Mus musculus: one gene and its partners. The protein of the gene in region 4 interacts with the protein of the main gene of each other region in a biochemical or structural test. Links are inferred from orthologs where the notes say so. Each region holds a gene or a part of one and is shown on either strand. Other genes may lie near its edges. The genes, in order: Yap1, Wwtr1, Cacna1d and Shank1.

Region 1 (5,661 bases), on a different chromosome or scaffold from region 4:
CAGGTTTGGTGGTTTGTTTTGTTTTGTTTTGTGCCAGGCTAATTAGCAAATCTGGTACAAATTCAAAATGAAATTATCTCATTTTGCCACAAAAGTCTGCAAAAAGGCTCTGAACTAAGAATAAATCAGGCTTTCAAGATATGACCAACCCTAAAGAGAGAGAGTGAGAGAGACAGAGTGTGCATATGTGTGTGTGTGTATGTGTGTGTGTGTGTGTATAGAGAGAGACACACACAGAGCGAGTGAGCTGGGGTGCAGCTCAATGATAAAGTATGCTGGTTTACCATTTATAAGGCTGAGTTCCATGTTTAGCAACAGCAAAGTAATAAATAATTGAATACTGTTTTGAAAAAGACAATAAATGAATAAAGCCACTCCCACACTGCCTCTTCCCAGCGCTGTCTTCACTTACTTTAAGAAGTATCTTTGACCAGAAGATGTCTTGGCCATCTCCCAGCCTGCTGGCAGTGGTACATCATCAGGGATCTCAAAGGAGGACTGCCGGAGATGCTGAGCTGCAGGGGCAGCGGCAGGGCCAGAGACAACGCCACTGGCTGTGAGTGTCCCAGGAGAAACGGCACCCAGCTGCAGGGAGGCTGGAGAGGAGTGAGCTCGAACATGCTGTGGAGTCAGAGCTCCCGCAGTACCTGCATCAGTACTGGCCTATCAGGAATAGCAAAATGAAAATTAACAATAGAGACAACAGCACCTACCCCTAACTTCCAAACAGTATGTCACGGCAACCAAATATCTAAGTATCAAATGTAAACTTTAATGTTTAATTTCTTACACAACAGGAACACACCAGACCAAATAGACCATTACAAAAATTTAATAGGCATTATAAATGTTATTTTACTGATGAACAGTCCATCTGGATGAATGTCTACCTCCTAGACAGTGTGAAAACAACAAATACTAGGCATAATAACTTTATTTAGTGGTAAAGAATAATGCTCATCCTACATAACTCAAAATAATCAGTACTTTTCTAAGCAGTGTGGTTACTTTTCCAGGTTCTAGAACAAAACCTGGGGAACGACTGGGCACTTTTTTCTTTGTTGTAAATGTCTAATGTTCCCCCATCTTTCACTTTTTTGACTGTAAACAAATGTGATAAGTCAGCCATTATAAATTATACAACATTTAATAAATTCAAACTCTCAGAACTGCACCAATGCTAAAAGCTCCTCAATGAAGAGAATAATAGGCTAGCCCTTTTTGTGCCTAGAGAAAGACTTTTTCAATTCAATTATAATTTGTGGATTCACACACTTATAATAGCTGGGTGAGGGACAAAAGAAAAATCTGCAAAGACCCCAATGATTCAAATTTGGGTCCAATCAGACCAGTGTTAAGACAGGGGTCAGGAATAAACTTGTGTGTAAATGAGCTTTTCCAAGCGAGAGGATATAGGGCTAGAAGACTTCTCAGGCAGGGGCCTGTGGATGATTATTTACTAACTCTGATACATACCATTCACAGTCCAATCCTTTTATTGGAATTAGGGTTTCTCAAAACGTTTTTCTAGATTTATGTTGATAAGGAAACTGAAAAGACCCAGCAGTCATTTAAAGCCCCATAGGAAAACCCCGTTTTTGAGTTTCCAGATAGATTGAATTTTAGGAAACCATTAGCGCACAGAAAAGGTAAATTTATTGACGAACAGCTCTCTTAAAACGCTTAGAGAGAATGCAAATGTACCCACGAACGGCCCAGTGGAAGCCAGTATTACAAGTACACTTTCCCGGGTTCATTCCTTCTGACTTCTAAGTGCTACAAAATGGAGCGTTCAATCTGTGTATTCCTTCAAAGTTGCCCCAGCGGTTTCTCGATTGCATGTCACATACGTTTAGTTCAGCGAGTACAGAAACTCACTTGTGGGGGAGGGAGCAAATAGTATCTAGGTCTACTGTTGTTACAAATTAAGAGTTTATTTAGCCGAGCAGCTAGATAACTTTTCCTTCCTTCTTAAGAGGCTTTTTGTAGGGAGGTTAATCGAGATTTTCGAAGCTTCAAAAACCCCGTTCTACAACAAGCCTGCCTAGGAGGGGGGGCTGGAGTGGGGGCGGCAACTCTTCTTTCCACTCAAGTTACAGCCCGAGTGGGCTAACGACATGGCAGTGTTTGGAAAACCAATTAAGTTTTGGGCAAAGTTCCTGTGCTGCTTTAGCCTAAAGCAAGTTCTTTAAAAATTAAGTAATTAAAAGCGGGGGGAGCGACACTAAAGAAATCTACCAGGACCTATCGGAATGTTAATACTTTGAAACGGTTTCACTTCTGTGCTGGATCCAGTTGGGAAAATAACCAGGCGTCGTGGATACGGATAAGCAGCCATGTTCACATCCGCAGTCAGTTAAAGAGCAATGGCGAGCTTGGAATTAGTCATTGCTTCCCAAACATTACCTTTAATCACAGTTGAGCCGGGCAGAACTCGGCCTATGAGTCAACCTGCAACGCGCTATCAAAGGCCGGCGCAGAAACCTCTGCACCGTGAGCGCAGCCGAGCTCCTGCGCAACACACAGACGTGGCTCATTTAAAAGCTTTCGGGCCGAACAGTAAATAATAGGTTACGATTTAGGAAAAGGACACGTGAGCCCACCGAGTGTGAAAGGATCCCGCCCGCGCGAGTTCCAGGGCACGGCGGAGGCGAGTGGGGGGTCGAGGGAGCTTCGCTCGGGCTGGGGAGCCCGAACCCTGCATCCGGAGAGCGCCTGGGCCGCGAGAACAGAAAAGCTTTCGGGAGAGGGAGGGGGAGGGGACCGGGAGAAGGAACCAGAAACTCAATGGACCAGTTCAACCCCCACCCCTCACCGGCACGCGAAAACAAGAGGGCAGTTAACACAGCTCCACCGGAGACTGCAGTGGCGCGGGAAGGGGAGATCGGGTACCCCCGGCTGGGGTCCCGCACAAGACGCCGGCCCCCTCCCCCTCCTCCCCTCCCCCTCGTCAGAGCGAAGGTGCGGAGCGGAGGCGCGCGCATTGTGCACCCCCCCTGCGGCCAACTCCGCGAAAACAACCCCCAGCACCGCACCCCCACGCGGCCCCGCGCCCCCGGGATACCCTTACCTGTCGCGAGTGGGACTTGGGCTCAGGCGGCTTGAAGAAGGAGTCGGGCAGCTTGCGAAGCCGCATGGGCACGGTCTGAGGCACGTTGGCCGTCTTGGGGTTCATGACGGCATTGAAGAGCGCCTCCAAGTCGGTCTCCGAGTCCCCGCGGACGTGCACGACCTGGTGGCCGGCCGGGGGTGCGGGCGGGGCCGCGGGGGTCCCGGCCGGAGACACGGACGGCGGCGCGGGGCCTTGCGGGGCCGGCTGGGGCGGCGGCTGTTGCGCGGGCTCCATGGCTGCGGCCTCGTTCGACGCTCGGGGCACTGCGCTCAGGTTCGGGGGGCTGCGACGCGCGCCCGCATCGCCCTGCACTCCTTGCCCGAGGCCGCCTCCCCTCTCCTCCCCTCCCCTCCGCGAGCTCCTTCCTTCCTCCCTTTCTTTGCCCCCGGCCGCGGCGGCGTCCCAACTGAGACAGAAACTTTGGCTCCAGACGCCCAAACTAAAAAGTTGCGAGGAGCGCCCGCCCGCGCGCCTCGCGGGCTCCGCCTCCTCGACGCTCTTCCTTCCTCTGCGCGCCCGCCCGCACCGAATCCGCGGCCCGCGGCCCCCGGGGAAACTTTCCCTGCGCGTCGCTACATTCCTGCAGACTCCCGGCCGCACGTGACCCGGGGGCGACCGCGCTGCGTGCGCACCCACCGGCCGGCCCCGAGCCGCTCGGCTGCGGGCGCAGATCCTGCCGGACCCGCGCGCAACGCCAAGGCCGCGAGGAATCGGGACAACCGGCTTGGTAGGGTGGATGCAAAGGCCACACTGTTCACCCGCACTAAGGTTAATCCGGTCCGCGTTTTAACATTGATTCCATTTACCACCAAGTTTGAAGAAGAAACAACAAAACACTTGAGGGCGGGTGCAAATGATTTCAAAGTGAAGCTTGGAAACCAGGAGTTGCACTGGGAGTACCTTACAAAAGGAAACAGTATTACTTTTTAAATTTTGTTTTAAACAGGCTTTACTCTGTAGTCAAGGATATCCTCCAACTCTTTGTGCCACAGCTTCCACAGACAGCTAGGATTCCAAGCCAGGGCCTCTGCTAGCCCGGTTTTTGTAGGTTCATAGGTTCGTCCTTTTTCTTTTCTTTTTTCTTTTTTTTCTTTTCTTTCTTCCTTCCTTCCGCTCCCCCTTTCTCCCTCTCCTTCCTTTTTCTTCCTTTTTGTGTTTCTAATTATGTACAAGTGAGCACAGGTGAAGGTCAGAGGACCATTTGTGGGATCTGTTTTCTTCTTGGTTGTGGGTCCCAGAAATCGAGCTCAGGTACCCTGAACCATCCATCTCATGTTGACTACCCTATTTTGCTGTTTTGAGTCAGGTTCCTATGTAGCTAAGGCTTTCCTCCAATTCACTACATAACTGAGGCTAGCTTAAAATTTCTGCTCCCCCTACCTCAGCCTATAAAGGGCTCAAATAACAAATGTGGGGCACCTTGCTCAGCAAACTTTTTTTTTTTTTAAGTGAAAAGTCAATTTTTTAACACCAAAACTTGACATTTCTTTGGGAACTTCAACTCAAAACATAAGTCACTGTTTAACCTCATGGAGCATTGTGGGTTTTCCTCTTGTGTTTAGTACAAGGGTAAACAATGCAGGGTAGACTAAGAAATGAACCTCAATGGAGATTACCTTAGCCCCTGATTCTCTGTGTGTCAGTCTTTTATCTATCAGGAGCCTATCTGGAATCACTCCAAAAATGATAAAAATCTGTTCGTGTTTTTTAAGTTAATTATTTTGTATTGGGTGTTTTGCCTGAGTTTATGTCTTTGCCTTGGTTCCACAGAGGTCCAAAAGATGGTATTAGATTCCATGGAATTGGAGTACAACTGGTTGTGAACAGCCACGTGGGTACAGGGATTCGAACCTGAGCCTTCTTAGGAACCAGTACTTTTAGTGACCGGCCCTCTCCTCAGCCCCTTGTTGAAGTCATGAGCTACAAAACAAGAACTGGTTTTAATGAGGTATAACTGACATAACTATATAGTCTTCCACTTAAGCAGTTTGGTGCTTTTTGAGTGTATTCCCAGAGTTGTGCAACACTGACTTTAAACACACAAATTTCTTCTCCAGAAATCTGGTTTCTTGTTCTAATGATTTTGTCTGCAGTGTGAGTGAAACGGGTATAAATAGGATTAAGCAAAGAAAGGACCCTTGAGCAAAAAGATAATCTCTTCCTCTAGTTAAGACACGCCCGGAAGAATTCTGAGCAGCAGTCTATCGCTTTGTGTGGTAGAGTAGGGTGAGCTAGCTTCAGACAGGTAAGATTTGAATCAACTATTTAGGAGCCTCAGTTTCCTGTCCTAGAGAGGAAGAAGGGTAAATGTCTCCCTAAGACTGATTCCAGGATTGGTTCACACCAAGTGCCACAAGACCACACTCTTGTGGGCTCTGGAGTTTAGAGTTCAGGTCCCAGTTACCCACACAGGAGCTGTGTGATAGTGAGCAAGCTACTTCCTGCTCTTTCATTTTGTAATTACATCCACCTCATGTCTCTTATGTCGTTGAGACATTAAATGAGTCAATGGATATAAAGTACTTGGCCCAGTTTGTGGCACAAGGCGA
Region 2 (4,881 bases), on a different chromosome or scaffold from region 4:
CCCACCAGGAAAAACCAGTCCTCCTCACTATAAATTCCCATTTGGTGCTAGAAAGCAGCTGAACAGGTGAACCAAAGGCCATTTTTTACTTTGAGTCTTTTCCTATCTCTACCCTGGTGTCAAGGCACAAATAGCAAAATGAAAAATCACCAGAAGAAAGAAGTCAAGAAGCCTTCCAGGGGTGGGCAGTATGGGTCGGTGGGTAAAAGTGCTATTCGGAGCAAGCTTCACCATCTGCGGCCAACCCCTCAAATCCCAGACTGGAAGGAGAGAGCTGACTCCTGAGGACTGGACTCTGACCTCCACGAGTATGCGCATACACACTAATAGCAAAAGGCCTGCCAAAGGGCTGGGGTAATGACTTAGCAAGTAAGAACAACTGCTGATCTTGCAGAGGATACAGGTCAGTTCTCAGCACCCACAAGATGGTTCACGTCCACCCTTAACTCTCGTTCCGGGGGAGCCAATGATCCTCCAAAGGATCCAGGCATGCCTATGGTGCACATATATGCATGCAACAACATTTACACATATAAAAGAAGATGCATCCTTTTTAAAAAATTGAAGCTGAGCAAGATGATATCCAAGATATTCTGGAAATATCCTCAGAAAACACTTTCATACCATTATTATATGGCCTTATTTATTACCTATGACTTGTAACGGGGACCATGCTGTTTCTGGATGGGTTTGGGGTGAGGAAAACAATCTTCCATGATTAATAAGTCTACTTCAGAGGGTTTTTCCTCCTATAATCCAGTAACAAAATTAAAGAGATCAAAACCATCCATACACACATACACACATACTCACTGGTACTCACATGCACATACACTACACACACACACACACACACACAGGAGTCAAAGCTAAGCAGTCATTGCCAGCCTTTCTTTTGCTGCACTGTGGGAAGGACTGGAAACTGGGATTCCCTAAAATGCACCAAGTTCCCCAGCTGCCACAGCTCAGTTCTGAAGGAACTATGTTGGCATTTCTGTAATATGAACCATCAAAACTATCCTTGGCTCAAAGGCACCTCCAGCTAGAATAAAGGAAACAATGCCAGGCCCTTTTCCACACCCCTTTTCGAAAATTCTTTCTGTGGGAAAGGAGGAGACAGGGCAAAAGAAAGGCAGAAGAGACGGACACAAATCACTCCTAACAAAAGAGTGACTTGAAGAAACACACACACACACACACACACACACAATCATTTAAATACAAAATGATTTATAAATGCTAAATGTATAAAGACAATTTATAAATGCTAATTCACATTCTATTTCCAAATAAGAAATTGACTGATTCCACATAGAAATATCCAAAAATGGAAAACAACAAATCATATGATTATCTCCTGCCAAGAAACATGATAGGCTATATCTAAAAACCTTAATAAAAATTGTTACCATGATGCAGCCAAGAAAGCGAAAATGTAGATTCTATGAGTAAACGTAGTAACTATAGCTACTTAATAGTCTTCTTCATTAACTTGATATTCATTTCCCCTATTTTCAAACACTGCATCTGAGCTGTATTTGATGAGCAAGACATTACTATTGATAAAAGATGTATAGATTTTAAAATAACAGCTGTAACTTGAGAAAGTCTTTACAATACCCCTATATTCCCTTCCAAGGATACTCTCTGAGCAGTTAAAACTATATTTTTAACAATGGCAAAAAGGCTCAAACTCAGCCAGGTGTCTTTTTTTCCTCCCTCCCATATCCCCTTCTTCTTTGCTTCTCTGTCTTTCTTTCTCCCTCTGTTCTGGGAACAAGAACCTTGAACACTCTAAGCAAGTACTCTCCTATTGAGCTATGCCCCTAGCCAACTCTGGGGCCTCAAACTCTCATCCCTGAGTGGGTCTTCTGAGTTATGGATTGAAGCCATGCCTGGCTTTTTTATTTTGTTTATGACATACAATGCTGAACCCTCAGAAGATATACAGCAGTTTTCTCTTGACCAAATAGGTGAATAAAGAATAAATATTATGGGCAGGATGGCACATCTTAGTCCCAGGATTTAGAAGCTGAGGCAAGAGGATCTTTGACAACAGGACTTTTCTTTTCTCTCCTTTTCTTTTCTTTTACAATGTATCATCATGTAGCCCTGGCTGTCCTGGAACTCACTCTGTAGACCAGGCTGGCCTTGAACTCACCAAGATCCACCTACCCCTGTCTCCCAAGGGCTGGGATTAAAGGCATGTGCTACTATGCCCAGCTATAACAAGATAGACGTAAAAGAAGAAAAGTCTAATTGATGCCCGTGCAGTTTTGTAGAGTATTCTGATCAAATCCACATCCAAACCAGTTTTCCTTCTCATTCTGCTTTGATTCTATCCTTTTTCATACTCTATCATCGAACAAGATGGCTGGCTACACGGGGCTTGTTTTATGGAATGCCTGCCTACTGTCTCCTTTAATGAGGGAAAGGGGACAAAGCTGACTCCATTTCTAGAACCAGACCCTAAGACACCGGCAGCTTCTCTCTCCCATCTCTTTCTATCCTCTCTTCTGGAAGATCGCTGTATAATGTCCTGGTACTCTTGAGATTGTTATGCTTCCTGTAATCCCAACTAAGCCCAACCTGCCAGCAATACTCACCACTAGCTACATCCTCCTGGACCTTGCAAACCACCCACCAGTTGACTACCGCTAAGTAACCTCAAGTCAATGGCAACAGAAGAACCACCTACCTTAGCCCTTTCTAAATTTTTAACCTACAAAACTGTGATTAAAGTAAATGACTATTTCAAGTCTCCGAGTTTGGGGGGATAACCTGTTGACAAAGTAACAGCTAATTGGAAGATGTTCTTTCTCAATTTTTCCTTTCTCTCTTTTTAAACACTATCAATGGAAGGCAAGGCAGCCATGCCAATATAACCATGCCCATGAGCTAGTTTAGCTCTTTAGCTCCTAAGGTTGGCCCTGAAGATAGTTCAGGCAGAGAGAGTTGGGAGAAGAAACTGGTCTGTGAATATGAGTCTTTGGACTTATCTTGAAAGCAAACAGCCACCCAAGGCCACAGAATCTCCAGCAGGTACCATGGAAGACCATACCTGCCTCATGAGCTCCTCTTGACGCATCCTAATCCTCTCTCTCTCCATCTGGATCCTCTGAAGCCGCAGTTTCTGCTGCTGCTGCTGCTGAGTGGTCAGTGCATTGGGCACACTCATGAGCCCTGTGGGTTGGTTCTGAGTCGGGTGGTTCTGTGGACTCAGGCTAGTGGCCACGACTTGCTGGTGTTGGTGATTCATTGCTACAGAAGGGAATAACGAACAGATCAATGACCAAGGTCTATGACACCATATCATAAAGAGACCATCAGAATGCTTTGTGCTTTGGAGTATAGAGTCCTGAATTCCTTTCAAGCATTTTACCATTAATTATTAATTACTATTTAACAATTATTCCCTTAATTCAATTCATGAAGGTACAGGTTCCAGCTCTACCATATCCAGTATTAGTTTTCTGTACTGTTAAACATCTTATGTCATATGTTTCCCACACCTGGAACACATTTATATTACACTTATTTTGTGTATGTGTGTGTGTGTGTGTGTGTGTATACACAAGTATGTAGGTTTTTGTGCTCATGCTTGTGCATGTGTGAGCCACATACACGTGTAAGCCACAGTTGCTTCTCTACTTCCACATGTGGGGCCCACAGTTGGACTCAGAAAGCTAGGCTTATACCAAGTACCTTTACCCACTGAGCCATCTCACAAGCCTGAGCCTCAAATACATTTTAGACATAACATAAAAAATAATCGTCAAAATATGTCGCTTTTTGTTACACGTTAGAAAAAATGTTTCACCAGGATACCCAGGAGTGCATGAACTTTTCAAACACCCGGAATAGCTGTAGCAGCATCACAGAAGGCATGTAATCAATTCTCAATATCCAATGGCTATATAAGAATACTCAGCATGAATGGGTGAACTGAGAGTAACAGGGAAAAAACAAACAACAAACAAACAAACAAAGACATCAATCATAAAAGAGGCCCATTTCATACTTTCTTAAGAAAGAATAACTCCTGGGATGGGAAGCATAGCTCAGTTAATAGAGTACTTGCCTAACATGCAAGAAGCCCTTGGTTCATCCCTAGTGTCGGATAAACCTGGAGTGGTGGTGCATTCCTATAATCCTAGCACTCAAGTGTGGAAACAGAGAATCAAAATGCAGAGGACTCTTCAGCAATACAGCAAATCTCAGCCCTGTTTGGGCTATATGAAACCCTGTCTTAAAATGTACAAAGGGGTAGGTGAGGAGGCCAGGCAGTTGTGGCATCCACAGTTAATCCCAGCATTGGAGAGGCAGAGGCAGGGAAGGCTCTGAGTTGGAGGCCAGCCTGGTCCACAGAGCAAGTTCCATGACAGCCAGAGCTACACAGAGAAATGAAATGAAATAAAATAAAATAAAATAAGGAAGAGCTGGAAAGAGGACTCCATGGTGAAGAGCCCCATGGCAGCTCTTCTAGAGGTCCAGGTTTCCAGTACTCATGGAAGTTTATTACCATTTCCAGTTCCAGGAGACACAACACCCTCCTCTGACCTCCGCAGGCACCAGGCATGAATGTATGCTATGAATGAATATATGCACAGGCATATATGCTAGTAAGTACCACACACACACACACACACACACACACACACACACACACACACACACACAAATTTTGAGAATACTTTAATCTTCAGTTTGGTGTGGATATCATGTGGAAGCATGTCATATACCTGAAATTCCTTAGATAAAAAGACATCGTGTGTCTAAAGCATGTGTAACAGATGGGCAGTCGTCCCAACTCAATTGCTAACCTGTGATGTAAGGACCCTATGGAACCTTATGGGCATTTCTCCCACCCTTAGTTTCAGA
Region 3 (4,427 bases), on a different chromosome or scaffold from region 4:
GAGGCTGGCTTCACGTGCTGACATGATTTAGCCACATAAGGAAACGAGTTTCCCGAGACAAGAAGTCGATGTTACGTGCCCAGAACTCACAGATGGCGACATCGGGACAGAACATGAGGTTTGGAGGGATCCTCGCTGAAGCCCCGACAGCTATTCCAGGTTCCAGCCCAAACAGAACGGATGAACACGCAGGAGAGTCTTGCCTGCAGTGCTGAATCCACATGCTGGGGTTGTCTGGAAGTCCCAGTGCCACAAGGGAGACAGAGTGGTAGAATGGTGCAGTCCTGCTTCCGTTCTAAAGTGGGGTTCACACAGGCAGTTAAGACTGAGTCTCCTGGGGAAACTGGAAAGGCTTAGTTAAGTAGGCTCCTTGGCAAAGAGCCTGTAATACCCCAATCATGGAAGGCCACATGTTGCCAAAACCAGTACCTGCACACCTAGCAAGCATGTGCCCCAGGGTTGACCCCTAGCACCAAAAAGAACTGTGGGGAGCCCTGCTGTGTTGATGGGACTTGGGCCCACCTCACTGTTGGCCAAGTGTGTTCCTGACAGGGTCACAGATCATGGATGGAGACAGGGACAACTTGCCAGCATGACCAGACACAGTCATAGAAGCAGAAGGTGGGGACACTGTAACACATGAGCCCTGCCTCATTTCCATACATTCAAATAGATTCTTCTCACCCACCATACTACATCCCTCAGGCCCCAAGATTTTTCATATTTCCACTTATAAACTACCACAATATCAAACCTAATGCAAAGATTTTAATCTTCAAATTTGGAGGGGGGCGGGGAAAACATGACCTACCTCCTAGGCCCAAGCTGGTGACCTGCGAAGCCCCTGCTGGCTGGGCTGTTGTATATTCAACCACACTCTTCACCCTTGTTCTGAAATCAGAAGCCAGAGACCGAGCCTCTCCCTAGGTCTCCACTGCCCTCTGGGAAAGCACAGCTGGAGTGGGTTTTGTGAGAGGTGCCCATGATTTGGTGGTGTTTGTACAAGTAAACCAACACTCCATCCTCCCCAAGTAAAGGCAGAGCTGATAAAGATCGTAGATAGTAAAAAGCACACAGCACAAAATAGAGCCGATCTGGCTTAAGAGCTGGACCACTGTGAAGTGGGTAGTGCACCCCAGCTATGCTCTCTTCAAGTGGCTAGGGCTACACCCTCAACCTTCTAGAACTATGGAGCACAAGTCCACATACCTCACAGACCATCCCAAATGAGGTTCTTGCTGACGGTGAGCAGATCATAGTGACTTCCACCTTTTAATGTCATTAAAAGCAGGAGCTTAAACTAAAAGCAGCATTCCAAAGACCTCAATATCAGGGGGGGGTGGGGCAGGGTAGGAAAACCAAAAAGCAGAACTATTTAGTCTTAAAACTTCCTTAAAGGGGAGGAAAAAACCATGCTCTACAACTTCAAATTTTTCTTACAAAGAGAAATTTAATATTAAATGAGAGGTTGAACCAGGCTTAAAGCAGACATACCGGGAAGGACAGCCTGAAACGCCAGGCAGCGTTGACAGCTGACTTTGGGAACGATCACCCATTCCAGAACACACGTGAGTGTGATCTGCTGATGTTACGTCGCACAGTCAGACAGACAGACAGACACCCAGCACGACAGAGTCCAAGGTAAATGCTGATGGTAGTTTAGCCCTTTAGGAGAACAGCACTCTGCAGCTGGTGTGAAGTTACTATCGGTCTCGGAGACCAAGGGCGGAAAAAGCCGCCCGAAGCTCCCCCAGTAGAGCCAGCTGTGTGAGGAGAGCTCCCCATATGATGACATTATACAGAGTTTATTCTGAAGAACGTTTTGCATTTTAATAAAAAAAAAAAGGCTTTATGTCAGGAAATAGTCATTTACAAACCTTGAAGTGTTTTTGCCTGCATCTGGAGTAAGAATGTCTTCCGAAGAGGTTTGCGAGGTCTTTATAATAAAATTTATTTACAAAAAAAAAAATTGTTTCCACAGGTTGTCTGTGTACTAGTTAAAAATTTTGAACCCAAATTGCTACCTGTATTTTTGATTGCAGAGAATCCTTAGGAAAGTGATGGGATGAGATCTCATGATGCTGACAGGAAATCTTGACAGTTCTAACGATTCCAAAGCTAACTGTCCCCAGGTGTGCAGTCAGAGCGCTTGTGTTCTCGTGAAAACTTCAGCCCTTGCTCCGCTGTGTGTGACAGCTCTCAAAGAGAATCCTGCACAGCAGCTGTGAAAGGCGACAGGACTCCACAGACCACCTGCATTCACAGGACACCACGGTGCTCCCCTCTCCCCTCCTGTGGTATACCTCCTAGATCTTAAGCATCCTTGGGGATGTGAGCAGACGTGGGCAGCTCATCTGTGCAGCTCCACGTCAGAGACCCAGAAGCATCCTGCGTGGGCAACTGAGGGAGCCAGACCAGTGGATGCCACTGGGCCGAGTAGCCAGCTGGACCTGCTGCATAACTAACTGACCAGAGGGTTGTGAAAATAAAACCAAACCAAAGTCAACGGCAACCCATGTGGGTGGGAGGTGCACTATAAAATCATAGAACCCAAAGAAAAGACTGCAAATTAGTCAACTTGATATCTTACGGAAAGATAGGTTTATAGTAACTCAAAATATTTTAGAAAAAAGTTCTGAAGTGCCAAGTTCTTAGGAACTCAAAAGTTTATCCCCAAAGATTCTTTTACTGAACATGTGAGAATTGGCTCTAATTCTCCTAATTCTTTTTAGCCCAAGTAAAAATACTAATAATTTCTAGGTTTGGGTGGGAAACTACGATTGTTAGGACCCGTGGATATTGCTGCAGTTCAAATACGGTACGATAATTACAAAATATAGACCATCTCTTTACAAATACAAATTGTATATTACAAGTCATGTACAGTAAATCTATAATTTTTAAACAAACTAAACGTATCTAAGTTTTACCTGGTTTGCAAGTGCGGTACTCTTCCAGTTTACAGTTGCCCTTAATGTGACAGAACTGACCGTCTGAGTGATGGTCTCTTATGTAAACTGGCATCGCTTAACAAAACGATCCGGTCCCACTCCCCTTGTCGTGACCACTAGTGGCTGGGTTCTGATGTGTACCATTCAGAACAGCTCCACAGAAACCAGGAACCAGTGTGTTGGGGGAGGGGGCTCAGAAATGGATATGCCAGGCCCAGTGGGTGTCTGATATGCTAGACCAATGGTTGAGGTAATGACACAGGCGTGGTGACTGTCATCACCTTTAACCTCTCTCATGTCTGCAGGCAAAGGGGCATGGGCATGCACCCTGGATGGGAGACACCAACTCCTGGGCAGCCCTCTGGCCTCTGTGCAGGCCAGATATACTGTCTTCTGAGGCCGGGCCTGAGCATGTGACATAGCACATGCCAGGCCGCTCAGAACCTGCTCCTACCAGGTTTATGGCTTCCTTGAGGCATGAAATCACTTGTACAAAAGTCTAATTGAGCGTTTTTCTCCCAACTAGTGCCTAAACTTTCCTAATTATGAGGCACTTTATCCCTGGCCCTCCCGTGCCCGTCTCTGGCTGGAGCCAGCCTGCCCTCACTGGGCTACAAGGTGGTAATGCAAATCATCTCATCTGCCAGGTCCTCTTCCTCTCGCCCAGGGTCTGGCTCCTCGTCACTGTAGCCAGGACCAAAGTCCTGGAGCTCATAGTCCTGGCGGTGGGAGATGGGGCCCATGTCCCCATTGGCTCGAGGACACACACTGCCATTGAGCAGGGTGCTGGCAGCACTTTCCATCTCGTCTATGGTTAGGTCACAGGCATCGGCAATCTCATGTTTTGTCGCTGAGACAAATTTGGGGTCCCTCGCGTAGCGTCCCAAGCCTTCGGATATCAGGACCTGTATAGGAGATAGATCGATGGCATGAGGGAAGGTCTGCATCAGCTCTCAGTGCGCGGCATGCTCTGGGGACGCTGTCAGCCATGCTGCTAAACTTTATACACGATGCTAACCATAAATGAGCTCAGCTCTGTTGGTGTCGAAAGCTGAGTGGCTCCACAAGGCTGAGCAAGAGAGAAAGCACTGGGGACGTAGCACAGACTGGCACTGCAGGATGGGACTCTCTGGTGGGACTTGGCAGTGCCAGCTGGTTTTCACTCAGGCCTTAAATGCTGCCGAGAGGCCACCCTCGGGTGGCAAGGCTGCAGAGCCCACCACTGCCCCCTCCCCATGTGATCATGGCTCTGTTTCTGCTGCCACCTAAGATTTGTCCAGAGGTCAAAGGCCACCCATACTCACTGCCTCCACCAGGCTGTCTGCACTCCTCTGCTTGTCGCTGTTCTTGTTCCGGAAGCTGCTGGGGACAGTCAGACTAGCTGGCGTGAAAGTCCTATAGGAGATGTCGGGTTCATCTGTGTACCAGGAGCTTCGGTGTAGGGATGGCAGGCTGCCATTGACCTGGTCCATAGAT
Region 4 (4,881 bases):
GTGAAATCCAGGGTGGCCGGGCCGCTGGGTGACGCAGGGGTGGGCACGGGCGACGGGGACGGCGGTACAGGGGACGTGGCAGGTGCAGGGCTAGGCGAGGATCCTCCGCCGCCCGCGCCGTCGGGCTGGGTGGGGGGCTCAGCCTCTGTGCTGCTTCCCTGGCTACTGCGGCCGCTGCTACTGGTAGATGGGGCTTTGATGATGATGGTAGGGATAGGGATGGAATTTTTCTCCGACGGCCCGGCCGGAGGTGGTTCGGACCGAGGCAACGCCGGGGATGTTGGAGAGGACGCGGGAGGGAGGCTGCCCTTTTGGGGCTCGCCTTCCACTTTGGTCTGCTTGACCAGCGGGCCTTTGCGACCGCGGCCGGAGCGGGCTGGTACGTACATAGCCGCACTGGCCGCCCTCGGGGGCAGCTGGAAGTAGCGCAGGGCGGGAGCCTGAGCAGGACCGCTACTGCCTCCGCTGCTACTGTGGTGGGAAGGTGATGGGGCCCCCGAGGTCGGGCTGGGTCCTCCACCTCGCCAGCCTCGAAGGCTGGGCTGGGGTCCCAGAGCCAATCGAGGTGGGGGATCGTCGGGGGAACCTCCTGTCTCCATCTCCGGTGGGTGGGGAGGATGCGCATGGTGATGGTGGGGCTGAGGAGGTGGGGCGTGATGATGGTGGTGATGAGGTGGGTGGTGGTGGGCAGGGGGTAGGGCGCCACTGTGATATAGGCTCTTCTCTCGGCCCCCACTACGGGGGTCAGGAGGAGATGGCCCATCGAAAGATGAAGGTGAGGAGGCGGGAAGGGGACCCCCGGAACCAGGGTTAAAGGGCCCTCCCCGAGGCGAGGGAGTGAGGCGGCCGGAAGAGGAGGGGGCCGGAGGTGTGCTATAGGGCGGCTCTGGTGGGGATGTAGTGGGTGGTGGGGGTATGTCCTCTGAACCCGGGACTGACAGGCTACGACTGAATTTCATGGCTGGGGGTGCTAGGTAGGGTCTGTCATCTTCCGCAGCCCCTGTTGAGATACGTAAGACCAATGGAGGAATTAGGGACTGGCCCAGCTCCTTCTGCATACAAGCTATACAACAGCAGAGGCGCAAGAGAAATTCAGTGGAATTTCACCCTCTGGCCAGGAGGGGGAGCCATTTCCTAATTAGTCAAAGGCCTGAATCCATGATAATGGTGACTTGGAGCGAGTTTAAAGCGTGCTTGAGAAGAAGAAAAGGCTATTATTTTACACAGAGACGCCTAGGAAGTAGCTAGCTTCTCTCTCAACAAGGATCTGCCTCCACTTACTACCCGCATGCTACCAACAATCCTTCCTCTGGACACCAAAGACCCCGGTTTTCTAGATGAAGGTCAGGAAGCCGAGAGACCACCCACGCAGTCCCGCAGGCGAGAAGCAAAGTTGGAATTCATCCAAACCCGACCTCCTCTAACCAGGGTCGGATGTGGTGCTGCAGCACATTTCCAAACCTAGACAGTCCTCTCCTGCCCCTGGGCTACGGTCCTTTCTGGGGGACATACCGATAGATTTCTGCCGGAGCATAAGGCCAGGTCCGGGAGGCAGGAAAGAAGGCCGGTCATAACTTGGCTGGGAGCGGTGGTGAGGATCAAAGCTCGACTTCGGGGCAGCAGTTAGAGGAAGAGAGAAAAGAGAGCGAAGAGGGATCAGTCAGAGTTCTCCACACTCCAAAAGGAAATTACTTTCTCCTCTGAGCTCTTTCATGGCAGAGACGAGGCACACAGAAGCTAGAAAGCAAGTCCTGGGAGAATTCTCTGGGGAAGCAGTCAGGAGAAAGAAAAGAAAAGCAGGCAGCCGAGCAGTCCCACTAAAGCAGGTACCACCTGCAGTCGTGGCCTGTACCCAGGTCCCATTGACACTCTTCTGGCCTGTGGTGGCAGCCACCCCTCTGGCTTTGTTGTTTCCTCTCTCCTTCACTCCTTTCTGGTCTCTTTTCCAGAGTTGGCGGAATCTTTCAAAAAAGAAATCAGGGCTGGAGCGATTGCTCAGTCAGTAATACGCTTTGCCACACATACAGACATGAGGACCCAGTTCTGATTCCCAGCAGCTGCAGCTCACGTCAGACTTAAAAGTGTGTGTGTGTGTGTGCGCGCGCGCACGCGCATGCTGGAGGGGCTCATAGAGGCCGGAGAAAGGCACAAGAGCTAGAGTTGCATATGTGGGGGAAGTGGGTGGGCTGCAGGGCTATCCAAGCCTGGAACCCAAACTCCCATCCTCATGGTGACACAGCAAACCCTCTTAGCAATGGAACCATCTTTCCAGCCCCAGTTTCAACTCATTCAAGAAAAAAAAATTGTCTGTCTGGTCACCAATCCATTGTTCTGTCAATTCATCATTTGTACCTGTTTATCATTCCATCTGTCTGTCTGCTCCCGTGTCCATCATTCCACACATCCATCACTGCACACATCCATCCTTCCACCCATCTGTCTGACCATCCACCCACTGTTCTACTGTCTGTCATTGCATCCATCCATCATTCTATCCATCCATCATTCCGTCCGTGTATCTTCCATCCACCATTTCGTTTGTCTGGCTATTCATCTGTTATTCTATCTGTCCATCATTCTATTCATCATCTTCTTCCACTGACCATTCCTTCTGTCTGTCATTCCATCCATCCATCCATCCATCCACAACACTGGTTGTGTTTGAATCCAGAGTGACTGTAACTCCATACAGGACAAGAAGTGTGGACTATTCTAGAGGGCAGTGGTAGTCTGAGGAATTCAAGGCTTTCCTGGGTCTTAAAAGCCCTGTCGCTGCACTGGCCTACCTGGCTTAGAACTGTCTATTTCTGTGTTTGTCTTGTTCATTCCACTGACAAGGACACTTCCACAAGGCATGGCTGTATGAAAGGCAGGATATAAGTATATTAGAGAACAGAACATGGAGTCTTGTATGACATGGAACCTGTCATTTGGAGAAGCTGAGGCAGGAGGATTACCATGAATTCCAGACTAGCACGGTCTACAAGTGAATTCAAGGAAGTGTCAGCTACGGCATAAGACTCTGTCTCAGAAAAACAACAAAACATGCAAGAAAACAAAATAAGTCCAACCCTAGAAAGACAGAGACACTGTGGAGGGTGCTTTTCACAGGTCCCAAGTAACCCAGGGACAGTTTAAGTGCCTGTTATCCCATTAGAGCAGCAGAGTATGAGAGTCTGGGGACAGGCTCCTTACAGGGATCAAGCTGATGGGGGAGGGGCCATGGTGGTGGGGGAGGGACCATGTGATGGAGGAGAGGCCAGAAAGATGGGGGACGGACTGTGGTGATAGAGGAGGGGCCATGCGATGGAGGAGGGGCCAGGGAGATGGGGGAGGGGCCATGTAATGGAGAGGAACATGTTGATGGAGGAGGGGGTGGGCAGGAGAGAGGAAGTAGTAAAAGGGAGGGGCGAGCATCATAGTAGAAAGATTAGTGTGAAAGAAGTTGTGTCAGAGTGTCTGGAACTGAATGAGGAAGGGTGAGGTAATGAGAATGTCAGAAAAAGCTCCTAGGGAGAAGAGCAGGTTTTGAGGGGAACCCTGCCTGAGGGGAGGACACTGTTTGCAGACTAAGGGAAAACACTCTGACTGGGTGAGGGGCTGGGGAGATGGTTAGGTGGGTAAGTTAGTTCTTCAGGTATGAGGTCCTGAGTTCAAATCATCAGAAGCTACATAAAAATCCAAGCCTGGCTGTCCATGCCTGTATTATTAGCATTGGGTGCCTGTGTGGTGAGGGGGAAGAGGTGGGTCCCTAGCGCTTGATAGACAGCTAATTTAGATAAAACTGTGAACTGTGCTTCAGTGAGACTCTGTCTCATGGGGACCAGACAGTGGTAGAGGGAGGAAAATACCTGTCCTGGTCTGGTTTCAGAATGCATCACACTGCGTGTACCACAGCCATACATGGTGCACACATACCACACATGTCATAACCACATATGGCACACACCATACATCACACACACATACACACACCACACACTACACGCATGTCACACGTGCGCACACACACACACACCATATGTCTCTGATTTTGAGAGAGTTCAACAAACAAGTTGATTGGTGCCCGAGGATGGATACCAAAGACTGCCCCTGCTTTCCACAGGCACATGCACACATGTGCACAGACACTCGCACACACACTTGCACACACGCATAAGAGACGGGTTGGATGAGAGCTGAGGCTGTCGGAGGACAGTGTGGGGGCCATGCTGTCAGACTCTGAGGATGGTGTTGGGCTGAGATCAGAGGGCTGGCACAGTCGCACACAGAAGAGGACTGCCAGTTTGTTGAGAGCCCTGTTGGACTGGAGCTGACCGCATTTGACTCCACTGAGTGCTGCCAGATCCAAACCAATTATCCAGAGTAGGAAGCACACTGGGGATGAGGTAGCATAGCTCAGAACCACGTAGGGAGAGGAACCAGGATTTGAACACACAGCTTGCTGCAAGGCCCAAGTGCCCTTGCCATTCCCATCCCTGCCCGCCTCACTTTCTTCTTTGTCCTAGATTCTCTCTCTCTTCCTGCCTCCCTCCTCTCCTTCCTCCATTCTTCAGCCCTTTCTTTCTCTTTCCCTCCTTTTTCTGCCTCCTCTTTTTCTTTCTTTCATCTTAAACAAATACAGGAATACTCTGTACTTGTGTGCAGGATGGCACAGCAGATAACCAACAATGTAGACATCTAGAGAAACCAAGGATGGGCAGGAAGGGAGGGCCGGGGCCTGCAGGGCACTCCACCAGCCAGAGAAGTGGCCTCTAGATTGGGAACTCCAGGATGGAGTGTGTGGTCCTGAGGGAATAAATGACACCCCTGTCCCCACATCATGCAGTGGGGAACTCAGCTCTTTCTCCCCTGAGGCTGTTGGCATCAGCTCTGCTAGTC

What was found.
Region 1: the proteins of Shank1 (region 4) and Yap1 interact in a test that uses a peptide from one of them, tested with the Homo sapiens proteins (2 studies listed by IntAct, with this or other methods). The link is inferred for Mus musculus from reciprocal best matches to the Homo sapiens genes SHANK1 and YAP1.
Region 2: the proteins of Shank1 (region 4) and Wwtr1 interact in a test that uses a peptide from one of them, tested with the Homo sapiens proteins (2 studies listed by IntAct, with this or other methods). The link is inferred for Mus musculus from reciprocal best matches to the Homo sapiens genes SHANK1 and WWTR1.
Region 3: the proteins of Shank1 (region 4) and Cacna1d interact in a biophysical measurement, tested with the Homo sapiens proteins (2 studies listed by IntAct, with this or other methods). The link is inferred for Mus musculus from reciprocal best matches to the Homo sapiens genes SHANK1 and CACNA1D.

What each region holds. Positions count from the first base shown.
Region 1 is NC_000075.6:8,001,045-8,006,705, forward strand, and holds the start of Yap1 (transcriptional coactivator YAP1), read right to left. Parts: upstream 3,553-5,661; 5' UTR 3,347-3,552; coding exon 3,071-3,346; intron 664-3,070; coding exon 413-663; intron 1-412. UniProt on the Homo sapiens protein: Transcriptional regulator with dual roles as a coactivator and corepressor. Critical downstream regulatory target in the Hippo signaling pathway, crucial for organ size control and tumor suppression by restricting proliferation and promoting apoptosis.
Region 2 is NC_000069.6:57,474,296-57,479,176, forward strand, and holds part of Wwtr1 (WW domain-containing transcription regulator protein 1), read right to left. Parts: intron 3,262-4,881; coding exon 3,062-3,261; intron 1-3,061. UniProt on the Homo sapiens protein: Transcriptional coactivator which acts as a downstream regulatory target in the Hippo signaling pathway that plays a pivotal role in organ size control and tumor suppression by restricting proliferation and promoting apoptosis.
Region 3 is NC_000080.6:30,038,511-30,042,937, forward strand, and holds the end of Cacna1d (voltage-dependent L-type calcium channel subunit alpha-1D), read right to left. Parts: coding exon 4,256-4,427; intron 3,857-4,255; coding exon 3,563-3,856; 3' UTR 1,431-3,562; downstream 1-1,430. UniProt on the Homo sapiens protein: Voltage-sensitive calcium channels (VSCC) mediate the entry of calcium ions into excitable cells and are also involved in a variety of calcium-dependent processes, including muscle contraction, hormone or neurotransmitter release, gene expression, cell motility, cell division and cell death.
Region 4 is NC_000073.6:44,347,676-44,352,556, reverse strand, and holds part of Shank1 (SH3 and multiple ankyrin repeat domains protein 1), read right to left. Parts: intron 1,962-4,881; exon of another isoform or gene 1,864-1,961; coding exon of another isoform or gene 1,834-1,863; intron 1,610-1,833; coding exon 1,513-1,609; intron 1,001-1,512; coding exon 1-1,000. UniProt on the Homo sapiens protein: Seems to be an adapter protein in the postsynaptic density (PSD) of excitatory synapses that interconnects receptors of the postsynaptic membrane including NMDA-type and metabotropic glutamate receptors via complexes with GKAP/PSD-95 and Homer, respectively, and the actin-based cytoskeleton.